Lonchura striata: one gene and its partners. The protein of the gene in region 1 interacts with the protein of each later gene in a biochemical or structural test. Links are inferred from orthologs where the notes say so. Each region holds a gene or a part of one and is shown in the gene's direction. Other genes may lie near its edges.

What was found.
Region 2: the proteins of BCL2L1 (region 1) and SIVA1 form a complex in vitro, tested with the Homo sapiens proteins (2 studies listed by BioGRID and IntAct). The link is inferred for Lonchura striata from reciprocal best matches to the Homo sapiens genes BCL2L1 and SIVA1.
Region 3: the proteins of BCL2L1 (region 1) and PMAIP1 interact in a biophysical measurement, tested with the Homo sapiens proteins (3 studies listed by BioGRID and IntAct, with this or other methods). The link is inferred for Lonchura striata from reciprocal best matches to the Homo sapiens genes BCL2L1 and PMAIP1.
Region 4: the proteins of BCL2L1 (region 1) and BMF interact in a test that uses a peptide from one of them, tested with the Homo sapiens proteins (2 studies listed by BioGRID). The link is inferred for Lonchura striata from reciprocal best matches to the Homo sapiens genes BCL2L1 and BMF.

Annotation. Positions count from the first base shown.
Region 1 is NC_134619.1:7,570,105-7,577,821, reverse strand, and holds the start of BCL2L1 (bcl-2-like protein 1), read left to right. Parts: upstream 1-4,695; 5' UTR 4,696-4,863; intron 4,864-4,961; exon of another isoform or gene 4,962-5,015; intron 5,016-5,429; exon of another isoform or gene 5,430-5,560; intron 5,561-5,804; exon of another isoform or gene 5,805-5,809; 5' UTR 5,810-5,915; coding exon 5,916-6,470; intron 6,471-7,717. UniProt on the Homo sapiens protein: Potent inhibitor of cell death. Inhibits activation of caspases. Appears to regulate cell death by blocking the voltage-dependent anion channel (VDAC) by binding to it and preventing the release of the caspase activator, CYC1, from the mitochondrial membrane.
Region 2 is NC_134608.1:8,754,331-8,761,141, reverse strand, and holds SIVA1 (apoptosis regulatory protein Siva), read left to right. Parts: upstream 1-3,972; 5' UTR 3,973-3,996; coding exon 3,997-4,114; intron 4,115-4,599; coding exon 4,600-4,776; intron 4,777-5,438; coding exon 5,439-5,595; intron 5,596-6,064; coding exon 6,065-6,122; 3' UTR 6,123-6,303; downstream 6,304-6,811. UniProt on the Homo sapiens protein: Induces CD27-mediated apoptosis. Inhibits BCL2L1 isoform Bcl-x(L) anti-apoptotic activity. Inhibits activation of NF-kappa-B and promotes T-cell receptor-mediated apoptosis.
Region 3 is NC_134642.1:39,295,324-39,301,488, reverse strand, and holds PMAIP1 (phorbol-12-myristate-13-acetate-induced protein 1), read left to right. Parts: upstream 1-4,889; coding exon 4,890-4,941; intron 4,942-5,260; coding exon 5,261-5,460; 3' UTR 5,461-5,655; downstream 5,656-6,165. UniProt on the Homo sapiens protein: Promotes activation of caspases and apoptosis. Promotes mitochondrial membrane changes and efflux of apoptogenic proteins from the mitochondria. Contributes to p53/TP53-dependent apoptosis after radiation exposure. Promotes proteasomal degradation of MCL1.
Region 4 is NC_134608.1:32,359,888-32,366,784, reverse strand, and holds the start of BMF (bcl-2-modifying factor), read left to right. Parts: upstream 1-3,882; 5' UTR 3,883-3,982; intron 3,983-6,897. UniProt on the Homo sapiens protein: May play a role in apoptosis. Isoform 1 seems to be the main initiator.

The DNA of each region.
Region 1 (7,717 bases):
TAAAGGCAAGAATGTCATTAGAGAAGCACCAGCTACATGGCTGGGAAGATGTCAAAGTAGGGCCCAAAGAAGGCAAACATAAGAATTAGAGCCAAAACCAACTGTAACTGAGCTCGAGACATGGCTGGAATCAAATGCTTTCCTACCGCCCTTAATCAAGATAGAATTTCTGTCAACACTTTAGACTTTTTTAAAAATCAAATGCGTCATCTGCATTCTCCCCTCACCCTCTCCAGTCAGAGTCAGAGCTCTGGGCATCATGTTTCACAGCTACTTGTGCCCACTGCTACATTGCTGCAGTTTGCAGCTTTTTACTGAGTAGAGCCCATATTCCACAGTGTCACCACCCTCATCATCGACCTCATTGCTGACCACTCTCTCTCCCCTCTATCCCAGACAGAAGAGAATAGTCAGGAAAAGAAAAGGATTGTATCGCTGCCTCAGTTTCATACTCTGTTTCTTGAAAGAGACAACTGGGAGATAACAGTTATTGTGACTGCGCTCCAGAAAGTTCATTCAGTCAGATGAACTCATGACATCTGCTTCTGAAATCCCCACATATCCTCCAAGTCCTGCCCGGAACAGGACTGAGGGTGAAGCAGCAGCTCACTGAGAGGCATCCTGCTCCTCCACCCACCGACTCGGGCTGGGACAGGATCAGCCAGGAATGCCCCGGTGATTTATCACTCCTGTGCCCACCATGAGGTATCTGCAATGCCAACAGGCTCTGCCAAGCACAGCCCAACACCCGCTGCCCACTCCCTGCAGGCATTTTAAAACACACAGTTGTGATTTTGACAGCTCAACCACATTTATCTCAATCCAAAATTCTTTCTCTCCACTGCAGCACTCATCCACCGGAAAGGAGGCGTGGAAATTTTTCCTCATTAATAGGGACTTTCCCTAATTAGCAGGCACTGTGTGCATTTCCCAGGCGTGATTACAGGCACGCTGTAATCCTACACAGCTCGGCGTGGACTTAAAGCATGACCTTGCTCTCCCCCACATCCATCACCTCCTGTGTCGACACGGGTGTCTGCAGCGAGCCAGCCGGGGAACCCTCACCCCCGTTCTGCAGGATCGGCTTTCACCTGGTTTGCAGAGCTGCTGAGGCAGGAAAGGAAGATCTGATCTTCTCGCCTGCAAAAAGACCCCAAATTCCTTCTATAAAGTGACTACTTAATTAAAATCTTCATTTTCTTTCTAGGTCTCCTCTCTCACTGACCTAAAAGTGCCTCCAGAGCAGCACAGCTGTATCCACAGGGAGGAATAGGCAGTGGGTTCCTCTAGACATCAGGTTTCTTTTGAGTAACTACACTTTGGCACGTTCCAGAAGAGTGCCTTGGCATGGTTTAGATTAGTTAGCTTTGAAAAAGGATTACAGTAAATTGGAACAAGCATTCCTATCCCAGAATAAGACTGATCCAACAGCAAGTGCAATAGGTATTTTGGAATAACTTCACACCTCGCTGTAATCCAAATTAGCTTTAAAATTCTGACACAATTCCATCACAGATGTGTTCAGTGTGTTTGTCTCACTGAAATTGTGAATTTTGTTCCAACAGCACAATCTGCCTGGACAAAGAAGCCTCCTAGCCATTCAGGCCATGGTTGGAGATAGGATGCAGCATTCCAACATGAGAAATCAAGGTCAGAGGGAGAGAAAATGGAGGAGTGTGGGAGAGTAGCAAGGACAGGATAGTGATAGGGACACCAAAAGGTTGCAATAAGACAAGTGGGAATGGCTTCAAACTAAAAGAGGAGAGGTTTAGATTGGATATTAGGGAGAAATTCTTCCCTGTAAGGGTGGTAAGGCTCTGGCAAGGGTTGCCCAGAGAAGCTGTGGCTGTCCCTGGAAGTGTTAAAGGCCAGGTTGGATAGGGCTGGTCCAGTGTCTCTGCCCAGAATGGTGATGGGAGTTTGGAACAAGATGAGCTTTAAGGTCCCTTCCAACCCAACTCAGTCTGGATCCTGAGGAAGGCAGAGTTCTGCTCTTTCTTGCCACCTTGCAATGTAGATAAGGCCCTGGTGAACTGGAGATGATGCCTTATCACCACACACCACTGGAACTTCACAAGTGACAGATGTTACTTATGGCAAATCCTAACAGGATCAGAAAGCACAATAAACAATAACAAACACACAAGAAGCTAGTCTAAGTTACATCAGCAGATAAACACAAAGGCAGCCGATCCACATGCCTCAGAACCCAAAAGAGGAAACCAGGAATGAACAAGAGAAGCTTCCCCAAGGCCGAGGCAGCTGCATGGGAATGTGCTCCAGCAATTCCAGGGCCTTCTGCTGGGCTTCAACACCAGCTGCCACTTAAACAGAGGAGGCTGCACTAACCAGGCAGCTTTAATTCAGCCTGGCAGCTTCTTCATTGTCCTGCACCTTAGAGTTTTCTGTTCTTTTTATTGGGATAATAATCCAAAGGTCTTGGATGCTTTCCAGGGTTTAACATGTAAGTTGGAGCATTAGAAATGGATTTACAACAGCCTAGCGAGAACCATCCCACCACAAAGCCATCATCTGAACTCCCTCTGCGTGACACTGACAGCCTCAGAAAGTCACCCTTCATCCTTGCTTTTCCCTGAGCAGGGTGGAAGTGAACACTTCCAACACACTCTGGATCTACAGCTTCTCCCTCCTCTCTTGTGCCCCTTACTCAAAGATCAACTAGGCTTTTCTGCAGCACACAATCAGCAATGGATCCACTACCTCCCAGAACGCTGCTGTTCCATCATTTAATTCTCAAACTGGGAGAAAAGGCCTTTAACTCTCCTCAGGTGAGAGCTGAGCCCGCAGAAAGCTCCGCAGACCACCCCGACCGGCAGCCAAGGCAGGGGCGAAGGGCAGGCACAGCCTTTGCTCTGCTAACGGCCCAGACCCGCCCCCATTCCCAAAAATAAACAGCCCTGACATCTCGTGCTCCCTAAAAAAGATCCCACAAGTTTCAGAAGACATAAAGATGGTACATTCTAAGAATAGACGTTCAGGGAAAATAAAATTATTTTTAGCTACCATAACCTCAACTAATTGTTACATTAAGTTGAAGGTCTTCAAGCTTAAAAAAAGCCCCAGATAAAAATAGTACCCCGAATGTTTTTTTCTGATACTTGGGCCAGGTTTTGCCTGGTTTGCTTCCCTCCTTTTCCTGGGAAGGGGGATTTGGACTGAGACATTACAGAGCTTTCCGCCGTGAAATACACTGTTTCATCAGATTGCGTGACTGTTGAAAAACTTAGAACTTTATTTCACTGCCGAGGCACCCACCCCACCGTAAGGCACACGCCGGGAGCTCCGGTACCGCGATCCCCGCCAGGGGAACGGGAACCGCCCGCCACGGCGGCTCCTCCCGCTGCCGCCCGGGGGCACCGGGCTCGGCTTCCCCGGACAACACGGTGTTCGTAACCAGCCCCCGGGGCTCCGTTACGAGCCCGCCCGCCAGACCGCGATAGCGGCTCCGGCCACGGGCTGAGCGCCCGGAGCCGCCTTCCGTCGCCGTTTCCCAGCCGAGCCCTCGGCCCCGTTACCAATACCTGGGCTCGGAGTAGGCCTGGGGAACAGCCGCAGCGAGAGAACGACCAGATATGGAGAAGGGCTGCGGGTTGGGAAGGAGAGGCGAGGCCGGGGGTGCCCGGCCGGCGCCCCGCACTCACCTCAGCAGCGCCGCCGCCACTCCGCGCGGCGCCTCTGCCGCCGCCGTTAACGGATTTCAAACAGGACCCCGCAGTCCGAACTCACCAATCAGCGCCCGGCACACGCCCTTTGAGGCGCGCTGATTGGCTGGACCCCTTCAGGACCCGGATAATCAGACCCCAAGCAACGCAGTTGCGCTCTCCCTGCAAAGTCTGACGGGAAATGTAGTACGTGCTTGCACAGCGCCACAATGACCGGGCGAGAACCGAACCACAACTCACATAACGCACTGCGGGACCTAGTAGACCAATCAGAAAAGGGGATGCCTTGAGTGTCGTTCCGGGTGGCCTATCAGCGACTGGCGGGCGGGACCCCGGAGCCAGTGTCAGCCGGTACGGCCGCGGGGCCGGGCAGGAGCCTGCCGGAGCCGGGCTCAGGTACGGCGGCTGTATCAGTGTCCGCTGCCCGGCTTCCACCCGCTGTTCCTCAGCAGATCAGCCTTCGGACTGCTGGGCCCGGGAAAGGCGGCTTCCGCCGTCTGGTAAGCCCGGCTAGGTTTCTCGATGCTGTGAGGACAAAGTGCCATTTGCGCAGTGGCGTTTTCGACCCCAAGTAGTGCATAATCTTCCCCGCAGTGCTGCAGAGGGATGGGTAGCCAGCTGTTAACGGCGGGGCAGGCCCCTGCTGCCACAGTCGCTTTCACAGCTTCGGCACTACCCCCATAAACCTCCCCTCACAATCCCAGCACGGGCTCCCTGAGCACTGTGGAGACACAAAACACCCCACGTTAATCCCGGAGTGCTCTGAGGGGTTTGCAGCCGTGTCAGCGGCAGGGCCGTGTCCGCAGGGCGCGGCGAGAGCGGAGGCCCGAGCTGCCACCGCCGCGGCCGGCAGGGGGCGCCGGAGCTCCGCCCTCCGCCCGGCACATTCGCGCATGCGCACCGGCCCAGCCGGCGTGGCGCGTGCGCGCCGTGCCCCCGCGCAGTCCAACCGACGCTCTTCGCCCAGCCTCAGAGCGCTGTGCGCATGCGCACCGCCCCTCTGCTGCCCCCTCCCACCCTACCGCACCCCCCCGGCCGCTCGGCGGGCGATGTGGAAAGGATCCGGGGACTGCTGAGCGGGCCGAGCCCCGGCGGGGCTCCCGGCGACCTCCGGCGTCGCTGCCAGCCGGGCCCGCCCAGCAGAGCCGGGAAGGACGCGGACCCTCAGTCGGGCGCTGAGGTGAGGGGCGGGGTAGGGTGAAGCTTGAGTGACGCGCGGCTCGGCCAAAGGGAGCGGCCGCGGCCGGGCCCCGCCCCTCGCGGCCGCTGATTGGCTGGCGTGTCGGCCGCGCGGGCGCCCTGTCGGCCCTCGTGCGCGGCCCCGCCCCCCAGGTACGGCGACCGGTGGGGCCGTCCCGGGGCCGGGGGGGCGGTGCGGGGCTCCGGGGGACGCGGTCCGGTGGGGGGGTGGGGGGCAGTCTGCTGCTCGGGAGGACCGGGTACCCCCTGCGGCGCTCCCGCCTGCCGCTGCCCGGCGTGTCACCGTCCCGGCCCCAGCGGCTACGCGCCGCTAACCGTGACTGGAATCGCTCCCGTAGGGACGCGAGGCCGTGCGGCGGCTCCCGCGGTGCCGAGCGCTCGCCGGCTTTCAGCGGTTTATGCTCTCCGCCTGCGAGGGGAGAGGGGCTTCGGGGTGGCGGGGGGCTGCGGTGACCATCAAACCGGGCCGCCCCGGGGCTGCCGTGGTCCTTGGGTAGCGCTGCCCGCCCGCTGCCGTGGCTAACGCCGGCGGAGGGGGCGGGGGCGCCGGGCCCTTTAACGGGCGGGGCGAGGCGGGGGCGGTGCTGTCGCGTTCCGGGCCGACCCGAAGCTCCAGCAGAACAAGAACCGCCTCCGCCCCGGCCCGCAGCCGGCCTGCCAGGCGCAGCCCGCACCCGGTGAGATCTGGGGTCTGCTCGGAACGAGCTTGTGGGGGGTCCCCGGGGCTCAAGGCTGCTTTCCGGGGAAGGGGGTTGGTTGTGGTCGGTTCTCTGTGCAGCTTCAATCTGGTGGCCCTGAGCCTCGGCGTAGAGCTGCGGGGTGATCTCAGTATAACGATAAGCTATCGGTGGTAATGGCGCGGGTGCATCTAAGAGCTGTGGCATTAACCGTTTCGGTGCCTCTCTCCTCATCTGTGCTAAGGTCAGATGCTTCCATCGGTCGCGAGGAAGAGGAGTGGAGTCGGGACCTGCTAAGTGCTGATCAGCTTGTGCTCCGGACCATGGACTCATTGAGGGCGTCCCAGGTGTGAAAATGTACAGCAGTAACCGGGAGTTAGTGATTGACTTTGTTTCCTACAAGCTCTCACAGAAAGGATACAGCTGGAGTCAGCTGGAAGAGGAGGATGAGAACAGGACTGACTTTGCAGGGGAGGAGGACGAGATGGACGGGGTCCTCAACGGGAGCCCCTCCTGGCACGCGGCCACCAGCCACATAGTGAATGGAGCCACCGTGCACCAGAGCAGCCTCGAAGTCCATGAGATCCGTCGAGCAGCCGATGTGAGGCAGGCACTGAGAGAGGCAGGGGATGAGTTTGAGCTGAGGTACCGGCGGGCGTTCAGCGACCTCACTTCCCAGCTCCACATCACTCCCAGCACAGCGTATCAGAGCTTTGAGCAGGTAGTGAACGAACTGTTCCGCGATGGAGTGAACTGGGGCCGCATCGTGGCTTTCTTCTCCTTCGGAGGAGCCTTGTGCGTGGAGAGCGTTGTTAAGGAGATGAGGGTATTGGTGAAACGCATCGTGTCTTGGATGACCACGTACTTGACCGACCACTTAGATCCCTGGATCCAGGAGAATGGCGGATGGGTAAGATCACCTCTCTGTGCTGGGGCTGGCTGCCCAAGCCTTCCCTTGCTCCAGGCTGGCAGTGGAGCTGGTCAAGCTGGAGTGCAGCTCCCTGCAATGTATATGCTAGAGCTTGTCCTACTCCTTGCAGGGAGAATAAAGGGGTGTGTGGTCTTGCCTTCTGTGCTCTAAACACTGTCCCAAGAGGGCCAACGCACCGTGTTGACACAGTCTGTGCTCAGATATGTCTTTCTCCATCCCTCCTTTTTCTCCTTCTCCCTGGATGTTATGTAAAAGACCTGTTTTTCCAAGAGCCTTTGGAAATCTAATGTCATCCAAGCTTGTTCTTCAAGCAGAGCCATGGCTCTGGGGCATGTTCTTGGTGTCATTAACAGCAGGGAGTGGAGCTTCCTCCTCTCAAAGCCAGCGTTGTGGTGGGCTGGCTGGTGGTTTGCTGAGGTAACAGCTACTTCTTCATTCTGGAAACAGCATTTGCCTTGCTCATGGTGAAGTGAATCCCACAGCAGATCCCGGGGGGTGGGTGGGCTTCTAGGACTGTCTGAGCTGGTGTGGTGGGAGCCAGAGCTGAGGTGGAGGCAACCTCTGTGCTGGGGAGCTCTAAGCCTGCAGCTGCTTTTCCCTTGGCAGGGAGCAGTGCTCCCAGCTGCCCCAGCAGCAAACCCTGGGAGCTCTCAGTGGTGAGGTATTAACATGAATAAGCATTTCTTCAGGAAGCATTCTTGAAATGCCGGGTCCGGCTGTGCGGTGCAGCCTGGGACTGCCGGCGGGAGGTATATGACCTACAGATGTCTGAGTTTTCATTTGGCTTCTGCATCTTAGTGATTCCCTGCTGGTGTAACCTTTACCGGTTCCCATTGGAAAGAGTTCATGCTGTCAGGCATTGGCATCTAAACAGTGGGGAATTGCCTCCTTGCTGGGAGCTGAGGCCTCTTGGCCCCCTTCAGCTCACGGTCCATTGGCAGAGCCCAGCATTTTGGGAAGGGGACAGGAGCCTTTGAGCCCAGTGCTGTGTTCTGTGCCCTCCTCACAGAGAAGAGGCTCTCCCCAGCTCCCCGTGCCTGGCCAGCAATGCTGGGGACCCCAGAGATGAAGGGGAGAGCTGGTGCACCCAGGGAGAGGGAGGTAGTTCAGGAAGACTGAAAGAATTCCAGGAATGTGACCGCCCTGGGGCACTGCCTGGGTGGGGCTGCTCAGGCAAGGAGCGGAGCTTGGTTTCGATTAGTAGCCCGGGATCTGCTGGCCATTTC
Region 2 (6,811 bases), on another chromosome or scaffold:
CTCATGAAACAACATGCTCTTGTGAACAGATAATGTCTGATCCCAGCTGTAAACATGTCTGTTAAGGCTGATGTACTAAGAAAAGGATACAGAAGAAAGCAAATGGCCCCTTAGCCCTTCAGGTAAAAGCAGTTTTATGCAAGGAGGGTTTTTTTATCTTCAGATCCACACTGCAGAGCAGAGAAAGGACAGTGCAGTGGGACTGAGCACATGGGGTGTGGCACTTTTCCCTAGGCCCACCAGGGGACCTGTGCCCATCCTGACAGCCCATCCCACAAAACACAAATTGCATGCTGGCACATGGCCAACTATATCAGCTACTATCATATAATTTCCACTGAAAAGAATTTCCAGATTATTTCTTTAACCGTTTTAACATGAAAACATTAAAGAACCAGCGAGCTGGCCAAAAGCCACTCATTTTATACCAATTCAACCAAGGAAACTCCCCATTTAAAGATGTGTAGGAGGAAGAGTCCCACCTCTATGTGATGTGCTTTGATGTCTTTCTAAATGGCCTAATAATGGAGGAATAGAAAAAAATGGGAAATTTTACTACAAGCACATGGAGAGGAGGACTTCAATATAAGTGAAGCTGAAGGGATAGATAAAGTATTTTAAGGCCTGGATCACTATTTGTCTACTTCTAAATCATCAGTGGATCTTCCTCAAGGCTCACTGCTCTGGAACTAAGAAAAAAAACCACTCAGCACCATTCTGCTGGGTAACAATTCAGAAGACTGGCAAGTGAACCAGTTCCCTCCCTGTGAGGTGCTCAGGCCTGCTGGTGCAGAGCAGGCAATTATTTTGCCTTCATAGCTTGCAAAGAGAAGAGAGCTGGTCAGTAGCAGATGTTGGTAAGGTGAATCTTACAAAACAATTAAGAGATGTCACCACCTGAGGCTGACTCAGAGATGCACAGAAGAATCCTGCAGTGGGTTAGTGGTGGTAATGTGTCAAATGTGATCAGCCCTCAGCAAAAGCTGGACTTGATGATCCTTGTGATTCCCTTCTAACTCAGAATACCCTGTGATTCTGCAAAAGTGTCCTTAAATTTACTCTTCAGTGACAGCACCAGCACCACTGTTTCACCATGAGCTACTCCCTTTCAAGTCTACTTCATATTTGAGATCAGTGTTTCAGAGCACTCCTTTCCCACAAGTGGAATAGTGCTTTTAGCTCTTTCTCCATATTTCATCCAGCTCTCAGACAGCTGAGCTCCATCCATATTTATCCCATGCTATGTTAATGAAGTATGTGTGATCTGCTGTCCTCTATCCTGACAGGGCTCTTTCCAACTACAATTACATTCTGCAATTACATTCGCATTAACCAGTATTTCCCAGAGAACCCAAAGAACATCAGGGACATCAAAATATTTACAAAGTTGTGAATATTTACAAAGTAGTTTCCTTAGACAGAAAGAAAAGGCCATGAGTTTTCAATGTGCAGTTGGAAAAGTCTGCTGAACATACTTAAGCATGGCATTTGCAATTATGTGCAGAAAAAGCCAAAGCAGAAATCCTTGCAGATAAAGAAAGAGTGGCAGGAGTAAGATTTTGGAGCTCAGAAGGGATTTTTGGGAATTGCTGTGAATTACAATCATAGACCAGAAGGCTGGGCTCATCAGGTCTGCAGAAAAATAATTTAAAAATCACATTAACCTGTATGAAACCAGAATGGTTGTATGTGCAAACTATTAGCAGTTCAGCAAACTCACACTCATCATTTTGGTGTTTGGACAATGCTCTCAAGCATTGGTGTGAGTTTTAGGGCTGTCCTGGGCAGAGCCAGGATGCAGAGCTTGATGATCCTTGTGGGTCCCTTCTAGCTCAGGATAGCTGTGATCCTACAGGCATAGTCAGGCACTGTGCTCAGTACTACTGGTCTTGGGGTTTCAGTAGTTTTGGAAGAACTCGAGCAATGAAACCAGACAAGAGTTAGTCCATTAGGTATTGTGGCCCATTTTCAGCACATTAATCCATGCCATTCTAAATCTTGTGCTAGTATTGAAAATGTAAATTTTTATGATTTTCTGAATGAAAGGCTTTAAAAAAAATACTGATTCTATCACTACTTTTTGAGAAGGTTGTTATTGTTTGGGTTTTGGTGTTTAGAGGTTTTGGTTGTTTCTTTGTTTTCTTCAGAAGAAGAACTTTTTTGATCAGAACAAAACAAAGAAACCAAGAACAAGTCCTCTACCCTTAGCAGACTGTAAGTTCATTCATGGAAAAATCGCTCCTGTACTTGGTTGTGATTCCACAGTACATGGAGGGGAAGTTTTGAATTCAGAGACCTCTGGAAGAAATAAAACTCTCTTGACAGATCACCTTCAAGTGACACAAAACATGGCACCTAAACTCCAACACCATTTTAAACTTGTTTGCCCTGAGGAAAACAATGTATTTTCAAAATATACATAGTATGCAGACTGGTTGCCACTTGGAATGGCTCCTGATACTTACTTTTAACCATGTAACCACACCTGCGGTGCTATAGATCCCACTTGTAAAAAGCAAATTAATTGCAGTAATTTCCTTTCACAGCAGAAGCTCTTGGAGAGCATCAGTCCCCAAAAACTCATTGTGCCCACAAGTGGTGAGCCCATTCGTGATGTTGGCTGGTGCTGAGGAGCCCACCAGAGTCCTCTGGCCAGACAGGGATTCTCTGGCCTCCCTGGTGGTCTTTCAAAAAGGAAATTCTCAAGCTTGTGCCCATTTTTGTTGGTCCCACAGCATTCAGACAGCCCAAACTTGGGCAGGGGGTTTAGACTGCACAAAGAGCTCCATGAGCCCAGCGTAGTGTGGGGGCTGCCAAGAAGGGAAAAGAGAGTTCATAAACAAGTTGTATGCAGGACTGGAAAGGATACTAAGTAAGTTTAAAGATGAAACAAAATTGGTAAGAGATGTCGATTGCCTGAAAGGAAGAGGCCTTGCAGACAGACCTCAACACATTAGAGGGCTGGGCAATCACCAACTGTATGAAGTACGAAAAGGACAAATGCCAGTTTCTGCACCTGGAACAGAGCAACCCGGAATGTAGAGACAGACTGGGGAACTAGGAAAGGGACCTGGGTGTCCTCATTGATGGGAAGTTGGGTCATTGATGAGCCAGCCTTGCCCTGGCAGCCCGGAGAGACAATCCTGTCCTGGGGACATCACATCAGGAGTATCATGGCCAGCTGGGCAAGGGAGGGGATTGTCCTGCTCTGTTCTGCACTGCTCTGCCTCACCACAAGTGCTGGGGGCAGTTTTGGGTGCCACAATATAAAAATCTGTTAAAGCTATTAGAGAGGTTACAAAGGAGGGCTACGATGACGATGAGGGGTCTGGTGGGGAAGCTGCACAAGGAGCAGCTGAGGGCACTCCGTCTGTTCAGCCTCAGTTACAGCTTCCTCATGAGGGGCAGACATTGATCTCTTTCCTGTGGTGAACAGCGACAGGACGTGAGGCAATGGGCGAAAGCTGTGTCAGAGGAGGTTTAGGAAAAGGTTCTCCACCCAGAGGGCGGTCGGGCTCTAGAACAGCTCCCCAGCGAGGCGCTCACAGCCGCCAGCCTGACAAGAGTTCAAGAAGCGTTCGGACAACGCTCAGGCACCCGGTGCGAGTCCTGCGGTGTCCTGCGCAGGGCAGAAGTTGGGCTCGATGATCCCCGCGGGTCCTTCCAACCCCGCATATGGGTGACTCCGAGTTTACAGACAAGCACCGGCCCAACGCCGCTGCGGCTGTGCCGCGGCCCCGCCGCCGCGGAGGCGCACGGCGGTGACGCCTGAGGGGCGGCGGCGGCGGGGCCGGGCCGGCGCCTCTGCCAGCCCCGCCGGCCGCTCGGGACGCGGCGGGAAGAGGGATTTAGCGCTGCGGACGGAGCTTTCCCTTCCCTGCGGAGAGAGCGGAGCGGCCGCGGGTCCCGAGCGGCCGGGCCGGGATGTGAGGGCGGCGGCGGCGCGGCCGTGACGCGGCGCGGGGCGGGGCGGGGCGGGCGCGGGTCGGTCCGGCCATGCCGAAGCGCTCCTGCCCCTTCGGGGACGCGGCCCCGCTCCAGCTCAAGACCCGCGTGGGGCTGCGGGAGCTGAGCCGCGGCGTGCGGGGCGAGGAGTACCGGCGGGAGGTGTTCGGTGAGCGGGGCGAGGAGCGGGGGGCGCCGGGCCGGCCGCCCCGCCGGGGGGATGCGATGTGCCGGCCCGCCGGGGGGATGCGATGTGCCGGCCCGCCGGGGGGATGCGATGTGCCGGCCCGCCGGGGGGATGTGCCGTGCCGGCCCGCCGGGGGGATGCGATGTTCCGCCCCGCCGGGGGGATGTGCCGGCCCGCCGGGGGCATGCGATGTGCCGTCCCGCCGGGGGGATGCGATGTGCCGGCCCGCCGGGGGGATGTGCCGTGCCGGCCCGCCGGGGGGATGCGATGTGCCGGCCCGCCGGGGGATGCGATGTGCCGCCCCGCCGGGGGGATGTGCCGTGCCGGCCCGCCGGGGGGATGCGATGTGCCGCCCCGCCGGGGGGATGTGCCGGCCCGCCGGGGGGATGCGATGTGCCGCCCCGCCGGGGGGATGTGCCGGCCCGCGGCCATGGGGAGCCCGCCCGTAACTCTGCTCTCGCCGGCAGAGAGGACCCGGCGCCTGCTCTTCAGGGGTGCCCAGGCGTACATGGAGGGCGCGGCGGCCGCCGCCCGAGCGGCGGAGCCGGGGCCGGCCGGGGAGGCGCAGGACGAGGGTTCCCGCTGGAGCGGGCAGCTCCTCATCGGACACGACGGGAAACTGCGGCGGCGGCCCGCGGACAGGGGTGAGTGAGTGCCCGGCCGGGTCGCGGAACCGCGCGATGCCCTGAGCTGCAGGGACCCGTCCAAGTGCAGCTCCATCCCAGGACACCCCCGGCGTTCCCACCATGAGCCTGAGAGCGTTGTCGGAATGATTCTTAAACTCTGGCACTTCCCAGAGTTTAAACCTTAACCACTTCCCTGGGCAGCCTGTTGCAGTGCCAGACCACCCTCTGGGTGAAGAACCTTTTCCTAATATGCAAGCCAAACCTCCTCTGACGGAGCTTGAGGCCATTCCCTCTGTTCCTGTCCCTGGTCACTACAGAGACCAGTGCTGCCCTTTGGCTTCCCCTCCCTAGGAAGTCTGTAATATGATGAGTGGTTTACTGCTGTGTGGTTCTTCTTTATTGACTTTCCTTAAAGGAAGTGTTAGATTTGAGCTGACAGATTTCGGAACTGTCGCGTGTTGTGTTCTGCTTTAGATCACTTTGCATCTTGCCGCTGAGCAGAGAAAGAACCAAGGACGTTCCAAGCGGCGCTCCCTGTCCCTTCTCATTCCCGAGCATCCTGTGGAGTGCTGCCACCTGTAGCTGTGCACGGACGCGCTCTGCAGCTGCGGGAACTTCCAGCTGCTTCCCCTGCCTTGCTGTAGAGCTCATCCCTTCTTTTCCGTGTCTTTGCCGAGCAGTTCCACCGGTGGGAGCGTCCAGAGCCTGCTCGTCGTGTGTGAGAACGGCCGATGTGAAGGAGGCGTGTGCGCAGTGTGACCGGTTCGTGTGCCAGAGCTGCAGCAGGCTCTGCAGCTGCTGTAACACCGTCACCTGCTCTTTGTGCTCCGCTGTTGAGTAAGTGCCTTTCGAGTTTGGAAGCTTATTTTAATTACACATGGCCTGGTAGCTGGGTGCAGCCGATATCTGGCTCGTACCCATAAAGGAGTTAAACAATTCTCTTGCTTTAGCAGCAGTAAAACTGTCTGAAACATGCAAATTAAAATGCCTGTGTGAAGCACTCTAATCAACCGTAGTACAAGTCTAGTTCAGCTTCTTACTTAAATGCTGTAGGAGGCAAAAATTTCTCCTGCTTCCCCACCAGCAGGATAGCATGCTGGCCAGTGCTGAATGCATGCACTTCCAAGGAATAATCTTAATTTTTTTCTCTCATTGTTAACAGTTCTGTGGATAAAGAAATACTGAGTGTGCTGTGTGGGAGTCCCATGGTTGCAGTTGATAATGGAATAGTATGCCATTGTTATGTTCCAGAAACAGCAGGCGCTCTGACTTTTGTTTCTTCTGTTTTGTTTCTTTTTTTCCCTAGTTATGGTGATGTGGGAGAGCAAGTTCTCTGCAATGGTTGTTCAGTATTTCAAGTCTGAAACTTGATGAAATAACCCTTGTGGCTAAAACATCCATGAATTTCATGAAGTCTTCTCCTTACAACTGGTTAAATAATCCTTTTAGCATGTGAATTAGTTATGGAATTTCTATGTTTTATACATTATATTGTACTTTTAATATTGTAGCTAAATAAACATTTATATTTTAAAGCTTTTTAGATTGAGTCGGCTTTTTCCTTTTCCCTAGTTGTGATGTGCCTGTCTGGAAGGGACCACTCTGTGCTTTTACCTGGTGGTCCTGATGTGATACAGGATTCCGAATATTCTCTTCACTTGTTGGTCATGTTAGGACACACTTTTGTGGGATCAGAATAGAAATCAGTTGCTCCTTCTGTGCTTTCAGGTGAGTGTGAATCCATTCTGGACACACAACATTTTCTTTGCGAGCTATCTAGGAAAATCAGCCAGGCCTAAGGGCTTTTCCAAATAAGACAATTTGCTGATTCTGGTTAAGTTTTTTTTTTAAGCTATCACAAATATCTTGTGGTTACTGACAGCTTGAATGGTTTTAATCTTTCTGTGGTAACTTTAATAGAAAGAGCAATAGCACACCAGGCTTGGAGCAGAAAAATTTTTCTCATTAGTAAATTTTCCAGTACGTTCACTGAAAGGTCTTTCTTGGAAAGCAAATTATCTGTATGAGTTTATCACCCACTCTGTAAACTTCA
Region 3 (6,165 bases), on another chromosome or scaffold:
TGCTTCGCACAGAGGCAGTCACAGAGAAAAAAGTGTGTGTTTAACCCTCTGGTAGTGACAGAGCACTGTAATATATGAGCAACCATGCAGTTCATTTTTACTAAGAAAATTATGCATTTAAGCTTTCAAGGGAAGCAGGCAAGAGAGAACAGCATAGGAGGGAAAGACTAAGAAATAATTGTGGGGCATTAAGTAACATTTAAACAGCACATGAGATCTGTGCAAGGGGGGGTTATAGCCCAGCAGTGGATGTGCAGTTCTTCTTAGTTTCTTTTCCTGGATGGTGTGGGATCACTTTGTCAAGTCAAAGACAAATTAGCTGGAGTATTTTACTTAACTACTGAAAGCTACATTAAACTTTTCCCTCACCACAGTGGACGTGTCAGCAGCAGTAGCTACTGGAGGCCAAAGTTTTACTGCAGTTGCCACCAGAATATTATTAACACAGAACAAGGCTATTTCCCTGAAAAATGAAGTTGAGATTAATGACTAAGGCTGGAGGACTTAGGAAGCTTTATTCATAACCATGAGAGAGATCCCTGGAAGAAAGATGTCTGAGAAGAGCAAACCAGAGAATCAGACTGATACATGAAAAAAACCCCAGCAAAAATAAAACCAACCCAAACAACCACCAACAAAAACACAACAATTAAAAACCCCCAATCCAAAACACCACAAAAACAAACAAACAAAAACTTATCCATGGCTCTCATCACACTCTTGGCATGGCCCATGGCCACATGCCAGTGCACTTTCCTGAAATGACCTTGGTTTGTACTCCTGACAATAGAGCCAAGTTTCCTGATCGGGTGCATAGACACACATGGATCAACAGGAACTGTCAACTCTGCAGTCTGCAGAAACGGGAAAAGGGAGACAGAAAAACAAACAGCTTCTCAGTTAACACGAGAGCTGTCAACACCAGTTTTGGGAAGATGAGAAGATAAACTCCAATGATGAAACAGTATCAGAGATTTATTTAAGATCTTAGAGGAAGGCGCAGAAACTGCTTGAAAATGATTCAGCACAAATAACTGTGTTCAGATAAAAAAAAAAAAAACAGCTAGTTTCCTTTCTCTCCCTCTCTTGATTTCGTTTCTGCAACATTCAATTTCCTTTCAGCAAGCCTGCCCACTCTTGTTATGTGTGGTGAGAGTATGTCACATGCTGTCTTTTATGGACATGCTCCTGATAAAACCACATCACCCACAGCAGTGAAGCCTGGGGCACATTATCTAAAGATGATTTTCTCTTCTCAGCTGTGTAATTGCAATAATTTTAAATGGTACTAAGCAGAAATAAACTGAACAGCAGCTCCAGCTGGCCGGTGCTCCTTGAGCTACTGCTTTGTTCTCTGCCATGGCTGAGCCCACCTGGCGATCTGTGGTCCTGCTCAGTGTGGCCACAGCAAGAAAAACTTTTGTGGCTGCTCTGGTAGAGCAGACTCCCAGGGGTCTGTGCTTCCCACAGATATACTTCTTTGTTTAGGGGAATCAAAACAAGAAAACATCAGAGCTTGCCAGTGGCTTTTGAAACCACAATCAACTTCTTTTCGCTCAGCCTGTTGCACAATCCTATAATCAGCAGCGGCCCCAACATGCACTGTTCCCGCCAAAATGGGCTGTGATTTACACATCAGTAACTCCCTCACACACCAGTAAAACCCTGCGAGGATGTGGGCCAAATCTGGAACTTGAGGCAATTCCCCTCTAAGCAGTATTGAGTCTCCCTGCATTACACCACTGTACTCAGATACATGGCTCTGACTGTAGCAATTGGAAAACAAGCACTTCAGGTACTTGGGCTCACAGGATGGTTTATTAACCTATTTTGCACACCAAAGTGTACCCTTTTTTTTTACCTTTTATCCTTCTGTATTATCTTGTATCCTTTATTACATATTATCTTGTTTTTATTTATCTTTTTCACTACTTTAAAATAAAGAATATAAATTAATGCTCTCAACTCAACCATCCCACTAGTTTATGCACTGATAGGAAAGAATCTCTCCCCCACAGACTCAAAAGAAGCGCCCATCTCTTTGTGTGGCTGCAGGGGTATAGACAGAAGCTGCCCTTTAAGCTTATCTCCCTTCAGGGTGAGGAAGTGTTGCTGAGCAGGACAGGATTGATTGAGGTTAATTTGGTTTTGGCTTTACTTAATGAAGAGTAATTTAAATAATTTGCCAAGGATGTAATCTGTCTCCAGATTCACAAAGAAGAACAAGCCATAAGTCATAAATGGCTCTGTCTAAACATGCAAAATAAATGTGCAAAGTCACACACACATGCCAGTGGCATAAGAGACCAGTATGACCTCATGGCTTGAGTTTGTGGGTGCTTTGCCTGCACTGGGCTCTGCTGAGCACCGAGTAGGGCAGGAGGGGCATGTGGGGTGCCCTTTAGTAAGATGGCAGTCTCAGTTAGGCCCTAGCCCCTTGTGATGACATTCTGGAGAGGCTTCCATGATTTGTGGAGCAGCTCTTGGAGTGAGGCTATGAGATGCAGCCCTAGGCATCACATGCTGCAGACCACCACACCTCCTTCACGAGGTATGACGCATCATGCAAACATCCTCCTGACCTGTTTACCTGCCTTGCCATCTCCTATAACCCAACAAACTTGTTTTGAAGACATAGTTTCTTATGTAACAGGAATGCCTGAAAAAGGCCAGTTCTGCCTGAACAGGGCTGAGTTACTAACAGGCATGTTCATACAGCTGAAGGGACCCCAAACATATCAGGTCAAGGAAATTAGCCCACACGCCTTATAGGTTATATACCAGCTGAGAGACAAAGGCAATGCATCCTCAAAAACATTAGAAACTTTTCTGTGGCCAACCTAAGCTGCTCTGACACCAGGTCACGATCTGGCAGGGTGCACTGTGTGGTGCTGACAGAGCTGGTTTACTGCTTTGGGAAGGGCCTTGCAAAAGCTTCATCCAGCTATAGCTTTAATTTAGATGTCTCACCCTGAGAAATGTCTTGTCTGTGAGCTTGTATCACTGCCCCTCCCACATGCCAGCCCTGCAGCACCACTGTGCCAGATGCCTCCTGTCAGCACCAAGGGGCTGAGGTTTCCTACACAGGGAGAGAAATCAGCCATGTTTCAAGATGTTTTTCCATCATTCTGGGAAATAGCAGGGAAAAGGCTGTCTGCACTGTGCTGGTGAATGCTTCCCCTTTTAATGGAACTTCAAAGTCACCAGCATTTCTACACACTTGACTTCAGAGGTTTCTACCCCATAAAATGGAGCCTCTTAACATCCTGTTATGGGTCCGTATTACACTATGACATTTTAAGTTTTGTTTTGATGGGAGAGGTAGTAATTTACTGACTTTCAGCCATAAATCAGTTCTTTGTTATGTCTGACCCATCTGTGCTTTCTTTGCATCAAGCAGTTTTCATTTTCCCCTAAAAGCAGAAGTCCGTGGCATGTGTCACAACATGAAATATCAACTCTCTCAGAGACAGGAGGCAGATGAGTGATCCACGTATCACTGGCAGCTCTCCCAACATTCTGCAACAATCACAAAGACATGAGCGTGACTTTGTTCCAGCTCTTGTTTCCTGCAAAAAACACCATCTAAAATTACAGCAGCCACAGGTAAGTGTGCCCTGTCATGTGTCAGCCAGAACCATGCCATGCAGACCCTGCACTGCAACAGGAAATATCCAGCAGTGCGGGGGAGTGGCCCCCAAGCTGTTGCAAGTGGTACATGGAGATTGTTTCTCCATGGCTGGTGTGAGTGCAAGGTCACTATCACTTTGAATAAAAGTAAGGCTTAGAGAATTGGGGTTACTCAGCTTGGTAAAAAGGAGGCTCTGGGAATGCTTTATTGCAGACTTTCAGTATCTGGAGGGGGGCCTATAAGAAAAACTGGGACAGACATTTCAGAAGGAGCTTTTGCAATAGGACAAAGAGTCATGATTTAAACTAGGGGTGCATTGATTAGGTTAACTATAAGGAAGAAGTTTTTTATTTGTATGGTGAAGGTTGCCCAGAGAAGTGGCGGATTTTCCATCCTGGGAAACATCCAAGGTCAGGTTGAATGGGGCTTAGAGCAACCTGATCTATGTGACAATCTTTCTGCCGTTGTGGCTACAAGCAGCAAAATACAGGGGGACTGATCTAGAAAACCTTCAAGAAGTCTCTTCCAAATAAAGCTATTCTATGCTTCTATGATAATAACACACTCTGTTTCTTCTGCTTGTCCAAGCACTCTCCATCTCTCCACTTCTTCCTCCTCAGCATCATCATTGCAACCCTGTCCACGTTCCCTGGACCACCACCATTACAAGCGCAGCCCACCCTCCCATTTCTCTTTGCCTAGAGCAAGCCCAGCTCGCCCTTCTGCCTCTTTGTGCCCTGATGATACAAACCGCACTGTTCATCTCCCCTGACCCACCACAAACCCACCCCACGCCTCCATCCCCTTTTCGCTTAGCAGTCCCCATCCCTCCACCTCTGTTCCGCGCACAGCCCATCCTCCCGCTCCGCACACCGCACTGCTCCAGCCCTTTCCGGGCCGGCAGCGTGGGCGGTGTCCCGGCCGCGGCCCCGCGCCGCCCGGGCACGCCGCCGCCTGCCCGCCGGGCGCGGGGGGCGGGATCCCCGCGCCTTTTCGCTACGTCAGGACGGAGGGAAATCCCCGCTGGACTGCACCGCGCTTTTAGCGCCGCGCTCCGCCCCCGTGCCAGCACAACGCTGCTGCCACCGGCCCGAGAGCAACCTGTGCGCTCCGTGCCCCGCCGAATCGAGCCTGAGCTCTCCGCGTCCCGCCGGGCCTGGGCGCCCCGTGCCCCGCCGAATCGAGCCTAGGCTCCCCGTGCCGAGTCTCGCCGAGCCCCGGCGCTCCGTGCCCCGCCGATCCTCGTCCCGCCGACGCGATGATGCCTGGCCGGACCCCGCGCAAAACCGCGCCGCCAGCCGCTCCTGCAGGTACCGGAGGGGAAAGGAAAGGCGGGGGACGGGACGGCATGGGATGGGACAGGGACAGGGACAGGGACGGAGAGAGACACACCGTCCTGCTCCCGGGCGCTGCTGCCCGGCTCCAGCACCGGCTGGGCGGCCAGCGCCTGGCGCGGCGGCGGACGCTCGTTTGGAGGCGAGAGGGATGCAGCTGCTGCTCCCAGTGAGTGGGGGCAGAGAGGGTGCGGGATGGGGTGTGCTTCATGATGAGTAAAAGGTAAAAAAATTGGACATAAAGTGGCGTACTGTGGGGGTCCCTTTAAAGCGGTAACCACGCGCGTTTCCGCAGGGCGCGAGGCGGCGGTGGAGTGCGCCCTGGAGCTGACCCGCATCGGCGACAGGTGGGACTTGCGGCAGAGGCTCCTGAACCTGCTCGCCAAGCTCTTCTGCCCCGGGACGTGGGCTGCCCGCGGACACGGCGAGCGGAACGCAGGAGGACCTTGGCTTTGCGGATTTGGAAGAAGAGGCTCCACAGACATTGGGAGATGAAGAAACTTCAAATGTCGCTGCACTGTATTTACCTGACTGCAGCTGCTGAGGATGGCTATCACGTGTTTTCTCTGAAGAATGTTACAGCAATACTGGCATATGAATGCCAGATGGGAAGAAAAAGATAACAATGGGCAGAGCCTCTAAACTGTGCTGTGGTGACTTCGGGCAAGCTGGTGACATGGGGAGATTTGGGACAAGACTGAACTTGCCCTTCACCATGGTCTGAGAACACCTTCAGGAACCCAGTTTCCCCAGTCACCCTCTGGTCCTCATGTCCCATAGCCATGTTTCACCGAGGAGTTCAGCCCACCTCCAGGATGAAATAAAAAAAAGTGTCAGTCTGTTGGAACTTCGGATCACACACCACACAGGAAAAGCCAGTTGCTGGATCTTTGACTGTTCCTCTTCTCTAAAGTGTGGATCCTGCTGGACAGGGATCAAGTGGTGTTCAAATTTATTCAAATTATTAAAATTTATTGAAGACAATCACTATCTTTATTGAAAGGTTTTTTGTTACAGGATGTTGTTTTGCAGACTAAAAGTTGTAATTCTACGAATCAACAGTGTTGCATAATTCTAGTCTATAGTATAAATATATAGGATAAGTTTATATATATAGTATGTATACATAAAATATAAATGTGTGCACTGCTAGTGCATGTCATGAGTATTTAATAGAGCTATTAATTGAAAGCTGTTTGT
Region 4 (6,897 bases), on another chromosome or scaffold:
GATAAAGGACAGCAGCAATATTGTTTGCTGTGAATTCACTGGGATTAGGCAAAATGCTGAAGATCACTATGCAGAAGATCCCAGTATCAGTATGCTTCCTCTGTTTTGCATGTTATTTGTTGGGGCAAGTTTGATTTCTTCTGCTGATGTAGGAGGCAGCTGAGGATGGTGCATCGTGTTCTGGACTTCCTAGGCAGTGAGCTCATTGCCCTCCAACAAGCTGGCACAATTAGATATGCCATACTCAGACAACCAAACAAGTTGTACCTAGTGAAGGCACTAGCTGAAGGTGTGGAGAACATACAAATATTTAAAAATTCTTCATTACTCCCATAACAAAATGAGCTAGTCAAAATTAGTGTTTAGTTTGTTAATGAAAAAATAGGAGAGGAGGATTACTTTGAGTTTTTTTCCAAGTAAACTGTAATACTCATGTAAATCTGAAAACATGACATTTTTGAAATGCCACCATTGTAGTGTGAGTGTATGTTCTAATCTGCTTTGTTTCCTGAAGTGGAGAGGGAGTTGTGTATCACTTGCACCACTGGTGACATCCCACTAAGGGAGATACAGTCCAGTCAGTTTCTGCAGCTTTAGAACAAAGATGGGCGTTATTACTGCACCAAAGAAAAACCTCTTTTAATAATATCACATCTAGGGTCTGACAGTCCACCAGGCCACAGCACAAAGAACCATGATCTATTCCAATAAAGTCAAGAGCATCACTGTGGAATTACACTTACATGAGTGAAGACTAAAACTCTTATTCTTATTCTGGCTGTTTTATCTGTTCCCAGTTACTCTAATTAGCAGTTCCCTGAGGAATGATTAATCCACCTATCTCCAGCTGAAGAGTACAAAGCTGACTATTTGAACAGAAATTTAATGCTTCCCACCAGATATTTTTAGGAACTATTTATTCCATGCCACACTTCCTTATTTTTGCATCTATGTTGGAGTTATACATGTGCGAAAAAGTGTGTGTGTCCTGTGCTTACATCTATTGTGGAAATAAATTAAATCCACAGATGATTTTAGAATTTCAGGTAATGCTCTTGCACTAGATCTGCTGGCCAGTGCTTGTTTGTAACACATTTGCTTAAAATAAGTGTTTTACAGAGTGTTTCAAGAACTAGTTATAAATAACATTTCATGAACAGTCTTGGACTAGTCAATTGTACCACCTGTAGCCATGTGGCTTTTAAGATGACTCCTCTGCCACATTAGGAGGCACTTAGGCATTGGAAGGACTTAGGCATTGTTGATACTGGTATTGGAACAATTTTCCCCAAATCACTGCTGTTATATTCACTCAAGCTTAAAGACTTGAGGGATATTTTCTTCCATTTCATTTTGGGCTCTCAGTCATGCACTGCTTTCCTGAAACTTCTAGCATTGAATCTCAGCAAATGATACCTGGATGTGTTTGCCTTAAAGACAGAAGAAGTTCTCACATACAGTGGGACCTCTTAATACTTCTCTAGGGCACGTCCATCACCTACCATCACTTTGCTCAGAGCCATGGTTTGCTGTAGGCTTTGTTTGATGGAAGATGCCACACTTAAGGTACATAAACATCAAACATACCAACATAAATATCCCCCTTTCAGCAGAAAACTAACCACAATTGCAGTGTAAAACCTGCACCAATATTCCCACCAGCTTGCTGGTGTAAATGAGGATAGGGACACAACCATTTGCAGCAAAACTGCTGGGCTATGAACAGAAGGGTGCCAGCACCAGCTGCACAGTGCTTACCTGTCCAACACAAATGTGAGGCGCTGCCTTTCCTCCTCCTCCCAGGACCAAACAGTCTCAGGTTACTCCATGCTGGCTGTGGGCAGGAGAATGTCTCTGCGCTGGAAGTTTCACAGGCTTTGATGATTTAATGTGTCTGTACCCTGAGGACAGGACTAGGTATTCCTGGTTTACAGTCACAAACTCTGATCTTTTTAAAACTTGCTTAGCTCTTCTTTGCTCATTTCCTTTCCACCTTGCTGGCTTAATCCAGGCTTTGGTCAGGTGAGATGGCTCTGGGAAGCTTTCCCACTGTGAGATAGCTACTCCATTACCTCTGTTACTGTACATTTGTTTAATTAATCGCTCATTTTGTTCCTGAGCTGTTGTGCTGGCCCAGTGCACTTACTGTATGCATGAGTGCCTAAAAGGTGACGAGGCTCCTAAGGATGACTCTGTCTCTTTCATTTATTTATGGAAGTTGAGCACATGATCCCTTATAAATTGCAGGCACCACTTGCTCAGCCTGACTGTAGATACAGTGCCAAAGGCTCCAGCCCCTCTCAGCTGGCACTGATGGCAAGCAAGGAAGGCAGCAAGGACCATGCTGCAAAGAGCAGGACTGATCAGCCCAGATCAGAAAAGCAATTAAACTTTATGTGGCATTTGAACTGTGGACCTGAAGGTGCACAAAATAGCCTTTGGCCACTCTAAGATCTTTTTTTTAAGTGCTGTGACTACTTAACAGAGGTAATTGTAAGAGCATAAATCAAGGGTTCTGTTATTCCTCAAGAGGCCAACATTTATTACAGCAGACTTTAAAATTATTTTGAAGCATAGAAATTATGAGAATTTACATAGCAAATTACTTATTGTCAACAGGCAATGTAGCAGAAGCTTCAGCAACAGCAGCTGAGACAAGCAGCCTCATCAGTATATGGGCTTATATTTAAGCACTGAACTGTGATGACAGATATTCCTTCTGGTAGGAATGCTGGCTTAAACAGCCCAAACCAATGGTTCTTATCCCTGAGCCGTCGTGGTCAGTCTGGGTCACCATCCAATCCCACAAACAGCTACTATGAAAAAGAAGCAGAGGGTGGCACATGGTGGGAAGGAGAGCGGGTGTGAGGGCTTGTCTTGGGGTGACTTGAGCCAGCAGAGCTGCTAAAAGCCATCCTTGTCAAACTAGGTTCCAGCTGTCTGAAGCCCTGGGATCTTTGCTTCTTTTTTGCCTAGAGACAGCTTTGAAGGTTACTCAGGTGTCAAACTGGGTGTTTCGAGGCCCACTTCATCCACCTTCTCAATCTCTGGCGTGTGAGCAGGGGGTGTGTACAGTGGGATATTGTAGGACATGCTGCCCCTGTGCAAAACACAGTCAATAGATGTTTCACTAATGTATACTTGGAGGATGGGATGAAGGAAGGTGACAAGCAGTTGTACTCCACAGTAGATCTGTGTGAGGGAGTCCACTGAAGCATAAAAATCTTCCTTGCCAGGCTACCTCAACTCCAATGCAGAGAATTTATTGTCCTGGATCCAGGCCCAAGGAGTGCAGCTCTGGCTCTGCTGCTATTTGAGTAGTCTGGGACCAACAATTTACCTGCAGTTCACTTTTCACCATCTGTTAAACATCTTAAGACAATTGTGCTGCATGTCAAACATGTTGGGTTCCATATCAGCTGGGTTATAATTAATGAGTGGCTATGATGTGGCTGTTGGAAGACTTCCACAGAAAGTGGAACTTCTTTTATCCACCACTCTGCCCCCCCTATTCATTCTCTGCACTTTCCCTGTGGGTATGAGTAGCTGAATACTGAGCACCGACCTGGTTTTCCTTGTTCATAAGCACTGCTTTTTTCCAGTACAAAAAGGAGATGCCGAAGAAGGTTATTGACTTCATGTAATTTCTCTGAGGTGCTCAGATACTGAGTTGCTGCACACAGTCTTGATAGATGAGATTAGATAAAGGAATGAGGTCAAATAGCAGCTTTCTGTGTTACTACCTTCCAGACAGGGGAGATGGAGCTAATATGATGGGCATCCTGGGAACAGCTAAGAAAGATAGGTCACTGGGATAGATCATTTTCTCCTCCTAGAACTGCAGATATGCAGACACTGTCCTCCATCTCATTCAACTCTTCACTATGCCTGAGATGCAGCAGTCAGAGTCCCTAAGTACAATATTTCTGGCTCTTCTTTTTCTTCTTGCAGTGACTGTTGGAAAACTGGATTTTAAAAAGAGGTATGTAACAAAAAAACAAATTTGTAGTTATAAAATTTTAAAAATTCACTAGCAAAAATGCTATCCTTTTTTAAAATTATTAAGTATGATTATTCTAATTCTAAGATATTTGACTGGAGAGCTAGAAAACTTGCAAAGTATGCTTCTGCTAATGGATTGAACTTGACAATGTTTTGTGAATTAATCCTGTGCCTTGGAAAGACTTGGATATATATTTTGTTCAAATGAATTGATTCCACAGAACACAACTTGTAGTAGCCTGTTAACAATAATTAAGTTGAGAAGAGTACTGCTCTAAGGGGATTTAAATCTTTATCTCAGCAGTAATACTTACCATCTAATTTTGATCAATAGTTAGAAATAGTTACTTACTTCCAGGAAAACCTGCACAAAAGCTGTCACTGGAATTACTTTTTTTCTGACATACTTGGAAGCATTTTTGGGAAAGACATGAGGAAAAGTTGGAAAATCTAGTCTTCCTGCATGAATAAAAAAATATTAGAGAAACATTTCAAACTATTTCATTCAGAGATATCCCAGGTCATCATCCTCCTCTTTCCTGTTCCACTTGAATTCCCCTTGCTCCCCAGTAAACCTTTGACACTGTCTCCTACGGCAGCCTCCTGGATACACTGGCAGCCCATGGCTGCTCGTTGGGTTAAGAGCTGGCTGATGGCCGGGCCCGGAGTGATGGTTAATGGTGCTGCATCCAGCTGGTGTCTGGTAAACAGTGGTGAAACCCAGGGCTCAGTGCTGGGACCAGTCCTGTTTAATATCTTTATCAACCACCTGAAGAAGAAGACTGAGTGTCCCCTCAGTCATTTTGCAGGTGACACCATGTTGGACAGGAGAGTTGATCTGCTGGAGTGTAGGAAGGCTCTGCAGAGGGATCTGGACAGGCCAGATCACTGGGCTGAGACCAATGGTATGAGGTTCAACAAGGCCAAGTACCGGTCCTGCACTTGGGTCACAGCAACCCCAGGCAGTGCTACAGGCTGGGGGAAGAGTGGTTTGAGAGCAGCTCAGCAGAAAAGTAGCTGGGTGTGCTGGTTGATCCTCTTTACAAAGAGGTTGATTACAAAGGCTTCTGCTACCTTCCTGAAGAAGGACACCTTGTGTGCCACAAACTTCTCTTGGAGTTCCTTCTTGACTCTCTGATTTGCAGTTTAGCACACAATAGAGGCCATGCCAGCAGCAGACCAAAGAAAAATTCCCCTGCACTGAGCAAATGCAGCACCAATGTCATTAGTTATTTGAAGAAATTGCCAGTCAGGATAGCTGTATGTCTCTAGACTGTGACACTTCTGAGGCTGTATCACTGTCTGCACCATTCAGCGCTGCAGTGCCAAAGAACAAAAATATCTCTAATATAATGTCATCCAGCTCTTTTCAAGGGTGCTCAGCCTGAACTGAGCAAGAGGAGATTTCTAGAGTCTCTCATCTCTTCCAGTATCACAGCTTCAGAAATCCTAGAATCCTTTCCTCTGGAGGAAGCCTCTGGCTATCCTTAGCATCACTGAATGATCCCTTTGTGAATTTGTGTCTAGGCCCCGGAACAGTGCCTGGTTTTCAAATCCCATATACTTTGTGCTATGAGGGGTGTCTCTTTCAACCCTGGAGTCTCTGTTCCATTTTGGGCTGAGACTACAGAGGTTTTGACCATAAACTTCTCCATTACCTCTCCAGTAAGAGTCAGTTCTTCCGATGAGAGCTGGTCTCCAGAAGTTCCCGATGTGGCGGTGTGCATTCCAGATTCCACTTCAATTATTCACACAGGACTGCTCTGTGCTACTTTCTACTCAGACAGCTTCCCTCTCTCACTTTTCTTTTAAATAAGACATGCTCTCCTCTAACCACAGAGAAAGGTCTCAGGAGCTGACATGTATTTACTCTAGGTGGGGTTCTTGATCCTACCCTTTTCAAAAGGAAGTCTCCTGTATCAGGTGCAACCCCAAAGACAGTTTTAGTGGAGCACTCTAGGAAAGACTTTCACCATTTCAATTGACTCGTCAATTAAACAAGAGCAAATCTAGAGGTCTCTGTCCCTCAAACTTTGGGCTTGCACTTCAGCTTTGAGGCATTTATGTTCTGTATGTTTCCTATACAATGTTTTCTGTTTTAAGAACATGAGGGCCCTGTCTTTTTGTGTGAAAGATTTGCTGTCCTTGACCCTGAGAATCCCAACCAAACTGTTCCAAGTCTGGTCTTGGGAGTGCTGCTGGTTCCTTGTGACCTGTCAGAAGCGCTTTGCTCTTGTGCTCACACACCTCAGACAAGATCAATGATTGGCATCACTGCACAGGAACCCTGTGAGAAGCAGCCAGCTCTGTGCAGCACAGCTGGGGTTATTAAATGTCCAATAGGTTAGACAGAAAGTCTTTCTGGACTACTAAAAATTATGCGATAGACTAATTAGAGATGACATTTAGAAAGGATCTTCCATTGTAGTTCCAGAAAGTCTCAGATTTCACCTATAAAAGGGGTGCTCTGACTGGCAGCTCAAGGGCCACACTTTGCCCAGAGAAAATTCCTTTGCTTTGCTGGAAATGGGGAACATCTGCTAGTACTGCACGTACGGCCCAGCAGCTGAATGACCCCTGTAGTGCCTGTACATAATCAATTATTAAGAGTCAGGGCCTGCCATTCTTGGAACCACATGGCCAGCAAGTCAGGCTGTGGGGAGAGGGCTGAAGAGGGATTTAGCCAGGATCACCTGGAAAGGCTCTATTGTCCCACCCATGGCTAGCATGTGTGGGGGAGCACACAGTTTGTTTTACACTAGGCTGCTGGGTCAGACAGGGTCAGCAAGACAGTAGATCATACAGCTTTTAACTGTGTTCAAATCCTATAGAGCTTTGTAGGAGATAGAAGAGCAGACTAGTATCAGCTGTATCAGTGCTGATAGCACTGGCTGG